Linked DNA regions of Danio rerio. The protein of the gene in region 3 purifies or fractionates together with the protein of the main gene of each other region. This does not show direct contact. Links are inferred from orthologs where the notes say so. Each region holds a gene or a part of one and is shown on either strand. Other genes may lie near its edges.

What was found.
Region 1: the proteins of pex5 (region 3) and acox1 purify together in Homo sapiens (affinity purification with mass spectrometry; 3 studies listed by BioGRID, with this or other methods). This does not show direct contact. The link is inferred for Danio rerio from reciprocal best matches to the Homo sapiens genes PEX5 and ACOX1.
Region 2: the proteins of pex5 (region 3) and pecr purify together in Homo sapiens (affinity purification with mass spectrometry; 3 studies listed by BioGRID, with this or other methods). This does not show direct contact. The link is inferred for Danio rerio from reciprocal best matches to the Homo sapiens genes PEX5 and PECR.

Annotation. Positions count from the first base shown.
Region 1 is NC_133181.1:21,492,670-21,497,040, reverse strand, and holds the start of acox1 (peroxisomal acyl-coenzyme A oxidase 1), read right to left. Parts: upstream 2,830-4,371; 5' UTR 2,701-2,829; coding exon 2,592-2,700; intron 2,222-2,591; coding exon 2,062-2,221; intron 1,339-2,061; coding exon of another isoform or gene 1,178-1,338; exon of another isoform or gene 1-1,177. UniProt on the Homo sapiens protein: Involved in the initial and rate-limiting step of peroxisomal beta-oxidation of straight-chain saturated and unsaturated very-long-chain fatty acids.
Region 2 is NC_133186.1:32,594,502-32,598,117, forward strand, and holds part of pecr (peroxisomal trans-2-enoyl-CoA reductase), read right to left. Parts: intron 2,883-3,616; coding exon 2,717-2,882; coding exon of another isoform or gene 2,704-2,716; intron 761-2,703; coding exon 679-760; intron 536-678; coding exon 439-535; intron 1-438. UniProt on the Homo sapiens protein: Participates in chain elongation of fatty acids. Catalyzes the reduction of trans-2-enoyl-CoAs of varying chain lengths from 6:1 to 16:1, having maximum activity with 10:1 CoA. Has no 2,4-dienoyl-CoA reductase activity.
Region 3 is NC_133191.1:12,426,772-12,430,429, forward strand, and holds part of pex5 (peroxisomal biogenesis factor 5), read right to left. Parts: intron 2,305-3,658; coding exon 2,185-2,304; intron 1,458-2,184; coding exon 1,314-1,457; intron 1,182-1,313; coding exon 1,111-1,181; intron 1-1,110.

The DNA.
Region 1 (4,371 bases), on a different chromosome or scaffold from region 3:
GGGCGGGAATCAAAGTGAGCGGAATATTTAAAAAAAAAAAAAAAAAAAAGTAATTAAAAATAGAGAGGGGAAAAGAAAAGCAGAAAAAAGATACCGAAAGAACAAATTAGTGAGTGTTAAATACGAATAGACAGAATGAGTTGATCAAGATTGTGAGTATGTATTAATAAAATTTATATGGATGGGATTAGGCGGTTCATTCCACTGTGGCGACCCCAGATTAATAAAGGAACTAAGCCGAAAAGAAATTGAATGAATGAATGGATGGGATTAAATTTGAGGAACAGAGAATGACAAAAGTTCATGCATATAATGACTAAATTAGAGATAGAAATAATTTATTAGCTGCATAAAACATGTGCCAATTACAGTATAATCAATCTCAAAGAATTTACTCAACAGAAACATTATTAATGTGTTTACTCATTGTATGAATATGATTTTCTATGATTGTTTCAGTAGAGGCATACATTAAAAAGAGGTATCCATTCTCCAAAAAGCATTTTTGTTTTAGAGTGCGAGGCCAAAAATTTAGGACCTACTAAGATAGTGCTGGACATTTACGTCTTTTCATTCTTAACATTTGAAAATTCTAAATGTTCACTTGATCAAATGTTGTGAGAGAAAGACAGATAAATTACCCGTTAGCCATAACTGACACATTTACTCCCTTGCATTAATGACAAGATTGCACAATGATGCCATTATTCTCTCAGTGCCTACTGCTTCGGCTTCTTTCCTTCAAACCCACTGTCCTACATTTCCACTTATTAGGGTTTTGAAAATGTGTAGATTCCATTTACAATACAAAACACAATCAATGATAACTGGAAAATTAAAGACTTCATGAAAAGACAAACACAAAACTGCAAAACCACAAGTTATTAAGATAATCAAGAAGCAGTTAAAGACCTAAAGCTATTTAATGTTTGAATGCAGATAAGGTCAGGTTTTAAAAAGTGTTCTAATGTATACAGAATTAAATGGAGAATCACCTTGAATGCAGAGACCCCTAAATCAATCTGAGACTATGACCATACTGAGCTGTCAACACCTACAAGAGTGACACCTTAATATACAAATGTATATTTCTGAACCAAAAAGGACAATACTTTTTTGCTTATTACTAATATTTAAAAGTACATTTCAAATAATTGTTCAGGAGAGAAGAACTGACCGTGCCCCAGCTCTGTCTGAGCATAGGTGCCTAACATATGGAATGACTCAGCTAAGGGGATCCATTTTTTGCGTTGTTCAGCAGTACACTGGCTTTTTAAGGTGGGTATGAACATGACATTATGGACACCTAGGGGCTCTTGAAATACACCCCTCACAACACTGCAGAATGGAACAGACAAATGTAGTAAACATACATGAAGATACACATTGTACTTTAGAGGGTTTTATAAAAAGTCTTTTTATGTTAATAGAAACCAGATGTTTAATCCCAATTAGCTGTACTCCTAATACTTTTCATTATGCTAAATGTGTATTTAAAGTTTAGTTTTTAGGAATGTCTGAATCACCAAAAATGTATCAGTTTTATTTGTTTCAGCTAATTTAATCTGAGAATAGGAGTGGAGATGATAAACATTTTACTTCCCTTTGACACACTTTTAATCTGAGACCTTTGCCCTGGCTGTCTCTGCAAACACTGTAACTTTTGCTTGCAAATTGTAGCTAACATTCATATGCAACTCACAAACATATTTTACAACACTGATTTTGAAAATTTCATAAAAATTGTGTTGTTTTGGTGATTCATTGCATTAACCAATACATGAGGTGTAATTTAATTGTAGAGATGTTGGGACAAAGGTAACACAAACACCAAGATATTTGCTATTAAAAAAAAAACATATATTTGTATTATATTTATTTTATATTTGACTTTTTTTTTAAATATAATACAAAGACCTCAAAAAAAGAACTGTAGTGTATGTTTATTTTTTTCAGTTAATTCTTATCTCAGTGTTTTCTGTCCTCTAAACTTCTCTCAACTATCCATATTCTATAACTTCTATAACTATAAGTTTCTTTAACCATGACAATTTTGCTTACGTCTTGTAGGAGTAGATCTCTTCTGGATCAGAGATACCATATTCCCTAAGTTTCAGAATCATCTGTGCACTCTTCCGCACTGCTGCATCATATCGCTCACTTCGAGAGAGAAAGTTTAGGTCTTCATGTTGGAAATCTGGATCTCCAATAACCAGAGACTCTAGAAAAAAACAAACAAAACAAAAAAACAGATGATGGGTGTTTTTTTTTTTTTTTTTTTTTTTTACTTTTTAGCTTGATATCTTGATCTTGTACAGAAATGGGCCAACTAATTCAATATATATAAAAGGCGCTCTGACTTCAAGGTAAATATTTATATTATCAGTTTAATTTTTAAGAGCTCCACAAACTGTAAATTTGCAAGGGTACATTATATTACTAAAGAAATACATTAAATTAACATACATATACCTGAACTTAATCATGTCAATAGGTTAACCTATGCACACAAATGACCGGAAAATACGTTTACAATCAAATAGGTTATTTAAGTTATTAAATAGCAACGTTAAAACACTTTTGCAGCTGACCTATTTCTCTCCTTCTATTTGTCTTTTCCGCTCCACCATCCAGCACGTTTGTAAGAATCTCCAGGTTAAAAGACGCATTTTCACGTTCACGGCTAATATCAGGATTCATGACTATTCAGTTAAACTTTCTTTCGAGCTACGTGCCTTCTGCTTTGTGTCCTTTTTTCTTTTTTTGTTATATAACGTTTCAACTCTGGCTTAGTTGGGTTTGTTACTTCCTGGAAGGGTGGTAACATTTGACGTCAATTGTGTGTTGACCAATAGAAGCGCTTATTACTCAGTGGGCGTGGCATTGGTGCGCTTAACCACTGTTGTAACAGTAGGTTCGTTTAAGATGACAAATTCCGAGAATGTAGGGTTGAATTGACACAGCATGCATTCGGTGTTGAGTAAGGTTCGACTGATAAGTGGGAGTATTCTATCTATTATTCTCATAAATGTTGTTACCAATAAAATTATTCCAAGTCCGAGTAACACTATACATGCAATAGAGCAGAATATAGATCAGGTGTTTGTGGTTGGGTTTCTTGGAATGTGGATGGTAAATAAGTGGTGGTTCATTACACTGTGACAAACCAGGGAACATTAAAACTGACATTAATTAAATGTAAACAAATGTTGTCATTTCTGGTATTTACAATTTAGATTTAATCCAAGTAGAGCAATGTAAACAGCAAACATTGTAATCTATGCTTGGTCGGTTCAAATAATGTAGTGTAAAAAAACTGAAACATCAATATCTGTGCATTGCACCATTACAGTTTTTCTCAGTTGTTTTAGTTCATTTCTCAGATCAGAATCGAATTTTTCAAAACTACCTGTTCAATCTTCACATCATTGTGTCACTTGTGCACATCAAAAAAGCAATTTCTCATTCCTTTGAACAAGTTGCAAATGCTTTTGTACATTTTTGCTAATGGTTATATGCAGTTCTCTGATGTTTCCTACATTTTCAATTGCTTATGTCATGTTGATCAAAATGTATTATTTTGGCCTCTGTTGCATAGTCTCACCGCCACAACATTAACAGATTTTTCAGTCGCTTTGGTGCATTTGCCACAACACTATTTACATTTGCACAACAGTTAATGCATTTCTCAATACAATTAGGTAGTTAAATGGCTTTGTTTTCATTATGACAGTTTACTCTGTACATTTTTTCTAATGCAAAAGAGTCAGATTTTGGTGACACTTCCTGAAAATGCTCAAGACAGCAATATATATTATTTGCACAGCCATTTGAAAACTAAAGTAAAATTAGACATCACTGCATTTACCGTTTTTCTGAGTGGCTTTGGTGCATTTCTCACAACACTATTTACATTTGCACAACAGTTAATGCATTTCTCAAAACAATTCATCATTTGTGCACATTATAGTAGCAGTTTCTCATTCCTTCCAACAGATTGCAAATGCTTCTGGACATGCAATAATTGCTTTCATACAACTCTCTGCTGTTTATAACATTATCATTCACTTATGTCATGTCAGTCAAAATTAACTAAACTTGTGAAGGCTGAATAAGTCAGTCCATATAAAACTAATAGTCCTCATTTCAAAGTAATCTTTTTTTTTTTTCCTGGAAATGTCTTTTAAATTGAACAATTTCATAAATGATTTACAGACCTGTGTATGTTGTAGGTTCAGTTCCAATATGCACTGCAATATTGTTTAGAATTGTGCATAGCGCTACCCAAAGGAAGTTTATATTTGTTGTAAATAATGTGTATTTATTCTTTTGCACAATGCTTTAAATAAATTAGAATTGCAAAGAGCAAAT
Region 2 (3,616 bases), on a different chromosome or scaffold from region 3:
TCAATATACAAATGCAGAATCCAAACAGAATTCAGCAGCCTTTTTTAGGCTGATTTCACCAAGTAGGACATGTTCCTGGATTAACATCTATGTTGATTCTGGAACAACATTCCAATCAGCCAATCAGAATTAAGGGATACATTTACATTTTATTTTAGGTTTAGGCTTACAGTTAGGTTTATGCACTTCTATGTAATTGTTTTCAAACTATAATTCCCCTCTGATTTTGGGAGTTATTATGGTTGGGTTTTAGGGGTGAGGAATAGGTATAGATTATATTTTCAAGCAAAAAAATATGTTCTAGGGTCAACACAGATGTTAATCCAGGAATGGATCAGACTTGGCAAAATTATGACGTGCCTTTTTCAACGTCTCTAATCAAACAGGTCTATCCTAATGTATATAATATAGCTTAATGGTTTCCAATCTAACACATACCGGCGCCACAGAGTTTATGCGGACCCCACTGTGAGCCCACTCTATGGCCAAACTCTTGGTCAGGTTGTCCACCGCTGCTCGAGCTGCTCCTGTGTGCCTGGCATTAATAAAAAAAACCTGTTTAAATTGAGCTTTGAATAAAAGTGAAATGTTTGATTGTGATATAATAGATGTTTAACCAGCCATATATAAAATGTAAAACACAATACGTTTCTTTTATTTTTGCAAAGGCCAACTCACGCCATTCCAGGAAAGCCTTTCCACATGTCAGCAATGATATTCACGATTACACCTCCATGGTCCTTCATCCAGGCATTATATGCTATCAGTTAACAGAAAAAAAATAGCCTTTGAATTTATACACAAGAGTTGTCAACATTATTTTTGAGGGTTAGAAATAAGAACGCATATTATAATAACACAACAGAGAGCTAAACTAAATGTCAAGCATAGGGGTGTGAGATTACCCAGATTTTGGGATAATAGAAGTTGAGCAAATTAGAGCTCTGGAATATGATGATATATATATATATATATATATATATATATATATATATATATATATATATATATATATATATATATATATATATATATATATATATATATATATATATTGTGGGGACAGGAAGTAAAAGTCTATGGTTTCAAATTATACTCGTTTTTTTTTGCTGTTGCAAAATACATTGTTTACGGTAATACTTTTTTATTATGTGAATGACCTCACATGAAATTCACAAGCTTAAAATTACAAAGTTTAAATTTAAAATTTTATTTTAACAATATTTGTTTGCTTTTAAAAATTTGTTTTAAAAATCAATATTAACATTTTGTTAATATTTTTGTCAAGAAGTTCTAAATAAAGTACAAAAATAATAAACATTTTTAGTATATATTTTAATGTAAAAGGAAAATAGCTTTCCATGTGGTAAATAAATATAAACTTTTAATTGATTGAATTTACAGAAAAGGTACTATATCCTGATATAAATATATTTATCAGGATATGATGTGACTTATCATGATATGAGAAAAAGTTTAAATGAACTTTTATCACATTTATTGCTTACCTAGCAAGTACTATATGATCAATCTAACTGTATTGTATTAGTCAAGCTGGGCTCGAAACTGCGGCTGCTTTGGTCACATATGAGCCCGAAATTCAATCTATGCAACCTCAAAATATATTTGGGAGCATTTGTGCGAGTGCATAAAATTGCTGGCGTGCGACCTGATTTCACTGCAAAATGTTGACTGCATGGGCAGATTTAGGGGGCATTCATGCTGAATGCATAAATGAACCTATAAGATGCGAAATGCAGTGCTCGGGAATGGTTTTAACCAGTTGTCGTACCAACTTGCCCGTTATTTTCTTATATTTATTTATCTACAGCCATTAAGGAACACGTTGTATATGTTATCAATAAATTAATTTCAATTCTAAATAGTCATTTAAATGTATTGTAATTTTTTGCATTAATCAATATATCAAGTATTATTGATATATTAAAGCAGTCATGGGCGAGGCAGTGGCGCAGTAGGTAGTGCTGTCGCCTCACAGCAAGAAGGTTGCTGGGTCGCTGGTTCGAACCTCGGCTCAGTTGCCGTTTCTGTGTGGAGTTTGCATGTTCTCCCTGCCTTCGCGTGGGTTTCCTCTGGGAGCTCCGGTTTCCCCCACAGTCCAAAGGCATGCGGTACAGGTGAACTGGGTAGGCCAAATTGTCCGTAGTGTATGATTGTGTGTGAATGTGTGTGTGGATGTTTCCCAGAGATGGGTTGTGGCTGGAAGGGCATCCGCTGCGTGAAAACTTGTTGGATAAGTTGGCGGTTCATTCCGTTGTGGTGACCCCAGATTAATAAAGGGACTAAGCCGAAAAGACAATCAATGAATGAATGAATAAAACAGTCATATTGTAAAAGAGTGGAAAAATATTGTCTGTAAGAGAGTGCACAGTGTCGAAATGTCCAGTTTTCCTTCAATGTTTGACATAATCTCAACTGAAAAAGGTAGAGAGGCTGGGATGTTTGTAAGATGTGAGTGTTTAAATCCATTTTATATTTTCTAAATGCGAATTGTCACTGTTTTGTAGCACACTAGATAATAGATATCTTTAAAAAGTAACAGACTGAAACAAACATCCAAATTTTTTTATTTTAATTTCACAGGACCTTTAAATCTTTCTAAACAGTCTGACAAAAGGATTTTTTCAGTGTCAAGCTAATGTCAAAGGATAGATTTCACACACCCCTAGTGTTGTGTTTCACCTTTATGCCGAACCTTCTCTGCAGCATAAGAACGTTCCATTGAGGTTGGTGTCGATCACAGCCTTCCAGCCTTTTGCACTCATCATGTTTGCCGGACTGGAAAACTGGCCACCTCCATTATTCACCAAAAAGTCGATTCTCCCGTGAAGCTTTAGTGTAGAGGCCATCAGGTTCTTCACCTGTCAGAAACCAGAGCTACATATTACTCACATATAAATTACAAACCCAGAGCTACAGAAATAAATGACCACTTGGATACTTTTAGCTTCTCTGGATTTGTCAGATTTATTAGATAAGATTTACTGAAACCCGCAGATTTTTGAGCTCACCATTCAACTCATCATTTACGCATGTAGATGGATGTAAATTTTATATTAACTTAGTTTTTATAATAACTTCAGTAATAATACTGAATAACATGTAAATGCGTGTGTGTGGTTTATGTAGAAAATAGTTTGTAAATTAATATTTCTGTCTTTTAGCAGATATGAGACACTTTGTTTACCAAAAGTTATTATTTTCAAAAGTTATTATCTTAACATGTGTTAAGCTTTTGGTTACTATACCCTCACTTAGAAATCATTCAGCATAAATCTGCACATTTTGTACAACATTCTGTGCAGAAATAGCAAAAGATGTCTGCAGATTCTGTGTTTTGAGATCTGAGATTTGTTTATACTATAAAGGTCTGATGACATTTCTTAGAAATTTTAAGGTAAAGTCTTGTCATTTAGGTAATTTCTAATTACTCAAAATGTGACAATTGGCCAAAATAAAAATGTTAAAATGTTGTCATTTGTTATCCCACCAAACATAAGATTTTTTTTAACTCTTGTTTTATCTAAAAAAAAAAAAAAAGAATAAAACCATGACATTTTTGTTATTTTATGCAATAAAAAAAATTATTTAAAAT
Region 3 (3,658 bases):
AAAGTGCACACTGTTTTAATACATCAGATCGGTACAAGTAGGGAGAATTTTATGCGTTTAAATATATTTTATTAAGTAATTCATTAGGTGGTGCATTACAACTGTTTTTTATAATAAAAACACACAAATAAAACATACAACAGAAATGTTATTATGAAAAAAATACCTTTTATCATTTGGAGATATATAAAGTATCTCCAAATTATAAAAAAAACAGTAATGAAGACATAATAAATATTATTAATCACAAGTTTGCAAAGATCAACCCAAATATCAATCAAAATCTTGCAACAATAAATACAAAGAAGTAAATAAAAATAAATAGAAATATAAACGAACAAACAAACAAACGGGCGAACAAACGAACGGTCACCACTACTCTCACATGGTCAGTTCCTAGATGGGAGACCATATGAGAAGGCTGTTGCCAAAAGTGGTGTTAGTGAGACCAGCAGGGGGGGCTCTACATGCAGTTTGTGTGGGTCCTAACGCCCCAGTATATTGATGGGGACTCTGTGGTCGTTAAAAATCCCAGGATGTCCTTCGAATAAGAGTAGGGGTTTAACGCCCGCATCCTGGCTAAATTTGCCCACTGGCCTCAGTCCATCATTGCCTCCTAACCATCCCCATACCATAATTAGCTTCATCACTCTCCTCTCCACCAAGCTGGTGTGTGGTGTGCAATATGGCTGCAGTCACGTCATCCAGGTGGATGCTGCACACTGTTGGTGGATGAGAAGAATCTCCCCAAAAATGCAGTACAGGTGAATTGAGTAGGCTAAAATTGTCTGTAGTGTATGAGTGTGAATGAGTGTGTATGGATGTTTCCCAGAGATGGGTTGCAGCTGGGAAGGGCATCCGCTGCATAAAACATATGCTGGATAAGTTTGCAGTTCATTCCCCTGTGGCGACCCCAGATTAATAAAGGGACTAAGCTGAAAAGAAAATGAATGAATAAATGGTTCGCCATGCATTTTCAATGTCTCTAAAAACAAAAATATTTCAAAAGTTTTGTGATTTTGGAAACATAACAGAGGAGACAGACTGCAATCTATGAACTGACACTAGCCAACCAAAGCAGATGCACTCGGACGCAGATATATTTCCTACCTCCGGAGGGCGCTGATCGCAGCAAACTCCTGCTCGTTCTCCGCCTGGCAGGTGCCCAGATATTGCCAGGCCTGCAGTATCGTCAGACACGCACAGTCAGCGTTTCAGAAAGACATAGAAGGAAACAGAGCACTGTCAGAATCCCCAGAGATAAAATGTGCCATGAGTTTTGGATGTCAGGATTATAAGTATGAGTCTCTGACCAGCTGGTTGTCTGGCTGTCTCTGAACGGCGCTCTCGAAAAGGCGCACAGCTCCAGGAATGTCTCCCGCCTCCATCCGCTTCACCCCTTCTGCAAACGGATCCTCATGGGACAGGTAGGGGTTGTCTTCCTCAAACTGATATCCCTAAAAAAAGTAAGAAAGCAGGCATTTGGAAGCAATATTTAAAAGCAAATATTCATAAACTAGTCTTCAATTTCATTTATTCCTTTAAATTTTTTCTCTTTAATTTTTGGCCATTCTCTAAAAGTTTTAATTCCACAATAAATTAGGATTTAATCTATCAAATATGATGGATTTCAGTCATAAAAATGGAATCAGCTGTATAGATATACAAATTTTTAGATGTAATGTACACCTAATGAAATAATGATGTGATCTAGTGTCTATGTATGTTAAATGGCAAAAAGACTTCTTAAATGTTATTTTTAAATTGTTATAATATTGCACATTATCACGTTTTTTATTAAAATAAATTAATAATAATTCAAATTGTAATAATTGTAAATTAATATACATTTTTATAAATAATATTTAAAATATTTTAATTAATAAATGCAGTAATAATACACACATCTGGAATATGAACAATATAGTAAAACAATAAAGTTAAATAGCCTCTCTGTGCAAAAAAAAAAAAAAAAAGGGAAGAATTTTATGCATAAAATGTAATAGTTTTATTTTTGTATATTCTTGCTCTGCAAATGAAAATTTGTTCAAAATCGAAGCAGAAACAAAGACCAAAACTAACATGCATGCACCATAACAAAGCACAGACTACTGGCTGGAAAAGAGCTCAAATTTTCCAGTTCTCTGTGCTGTAAACGGGCACAGATGTACACTGTCCAGATACCTTGTCGTAAGAGCTGCTGAGCATCTGGTCGAAGTCTGAGAGCCAGGGGTGAGCTTCAGCATCCCTCTTGGCCATTTCCTCCCACTCCTGTTGGAGCTTCTCCCAGAAATCAACATCGCTCTGTATAAAAACACACATACATACACACAGACCAATGAGTTAAAGCCAAAACAAAACAATCTTAATCTAATCTACAGACTTTAGGGTGACAGGTTTTAAGAAAATGAAAATTGCTAAAAAGTTTATATTTTGCAGCCGTGTTCATTTCGTCAATAAAAATTTGACAGGTTTGCTGTGCAGAAATGTGACTGAATGCACATGCTCTGATCTACTCAATTAATGACAGTGTGATGCTGAGGACCATAACAATAATTAGTGTTGGGTAAGTGTTTTGTTTTGTCCACATTTCAGTTTAGTTTCTTGTTCTAGGGATGTTCTGATAATTTTTTTCCCTTCCAGTTACCTGAGCAAACAAAATTAATTATTTATAGGCTAATGGATTTCTGTGCATACAAGGTTTCCCTATCGATTAAAGCGAAAGTGAAAGTAAGCCTAAATAATAAGGTGGCTCATCTCTCATTCTCGCGCTGTAGATGCTCTGTTGAACTTTTTTCTTGGTAGTGAAGCGCTCAGTTTTTCCACTTACAAAGTCTGTCATGTAAATAGCAATTTTGCGATGGCTCGACGCAACTGACTTTTAAAGGGAATGGGAGATGAGACTCTGATTGGTTTATTCTCAAAATACACCTATAACTCATTAAGAAAATAAGCTCAACCCTTTTAGACTATGCGCCATGGCGCAAAGCGGATTTTGTCGTCTTTATATTAGCAAAAGTGGATTCTGACACGCCCTTAATGTGTTTGTGCCCTGCACTTTGCGCATGGATCGTCAAAATAGAGCCCTTCAAGTGCAGAAAATGAACAATCATGTGTAAAATAACATGGCTATGATTGTATAAATAATAACCAAAAATAATGTTTAATGTCTATCTTTTACTCTTTAATAAATAACATAATCGTGCAATGTGACTACTGCAGAAACACATTGTGATATCAATACTTAATCAATATATTGTTCAGCCCTACTAAGATTTTACTGCAGATCTCACATTCATAACACTGAAACTGCTCATATACAACTAGTACTTAGTTTAGTTTAAATAAAACTGTAAGAAGTAACAATTCAGACTCCAGAAATGTGTAATTACTACACAAAAAAGCCCAAATACCCCAAAATAACACTTAAAGCGACAGTTCACTCAAAAATAAAAGTAATGCCATCAACCCTCCAATTGTTCTCTCTCTCTCTCTGGAAGATTTTCTGAAGAAGGTGTATAACAAACCAGCCATTGATTTCCACAGTCATTTTTGTTTCAAAATTTCCAATAACTGCTTGTTTCCCACATGTTTCAGAATATCTTGTTTTCCCTATAATGACAGCAATCAAATACAATTCCTCAAGTATTTACAGCCT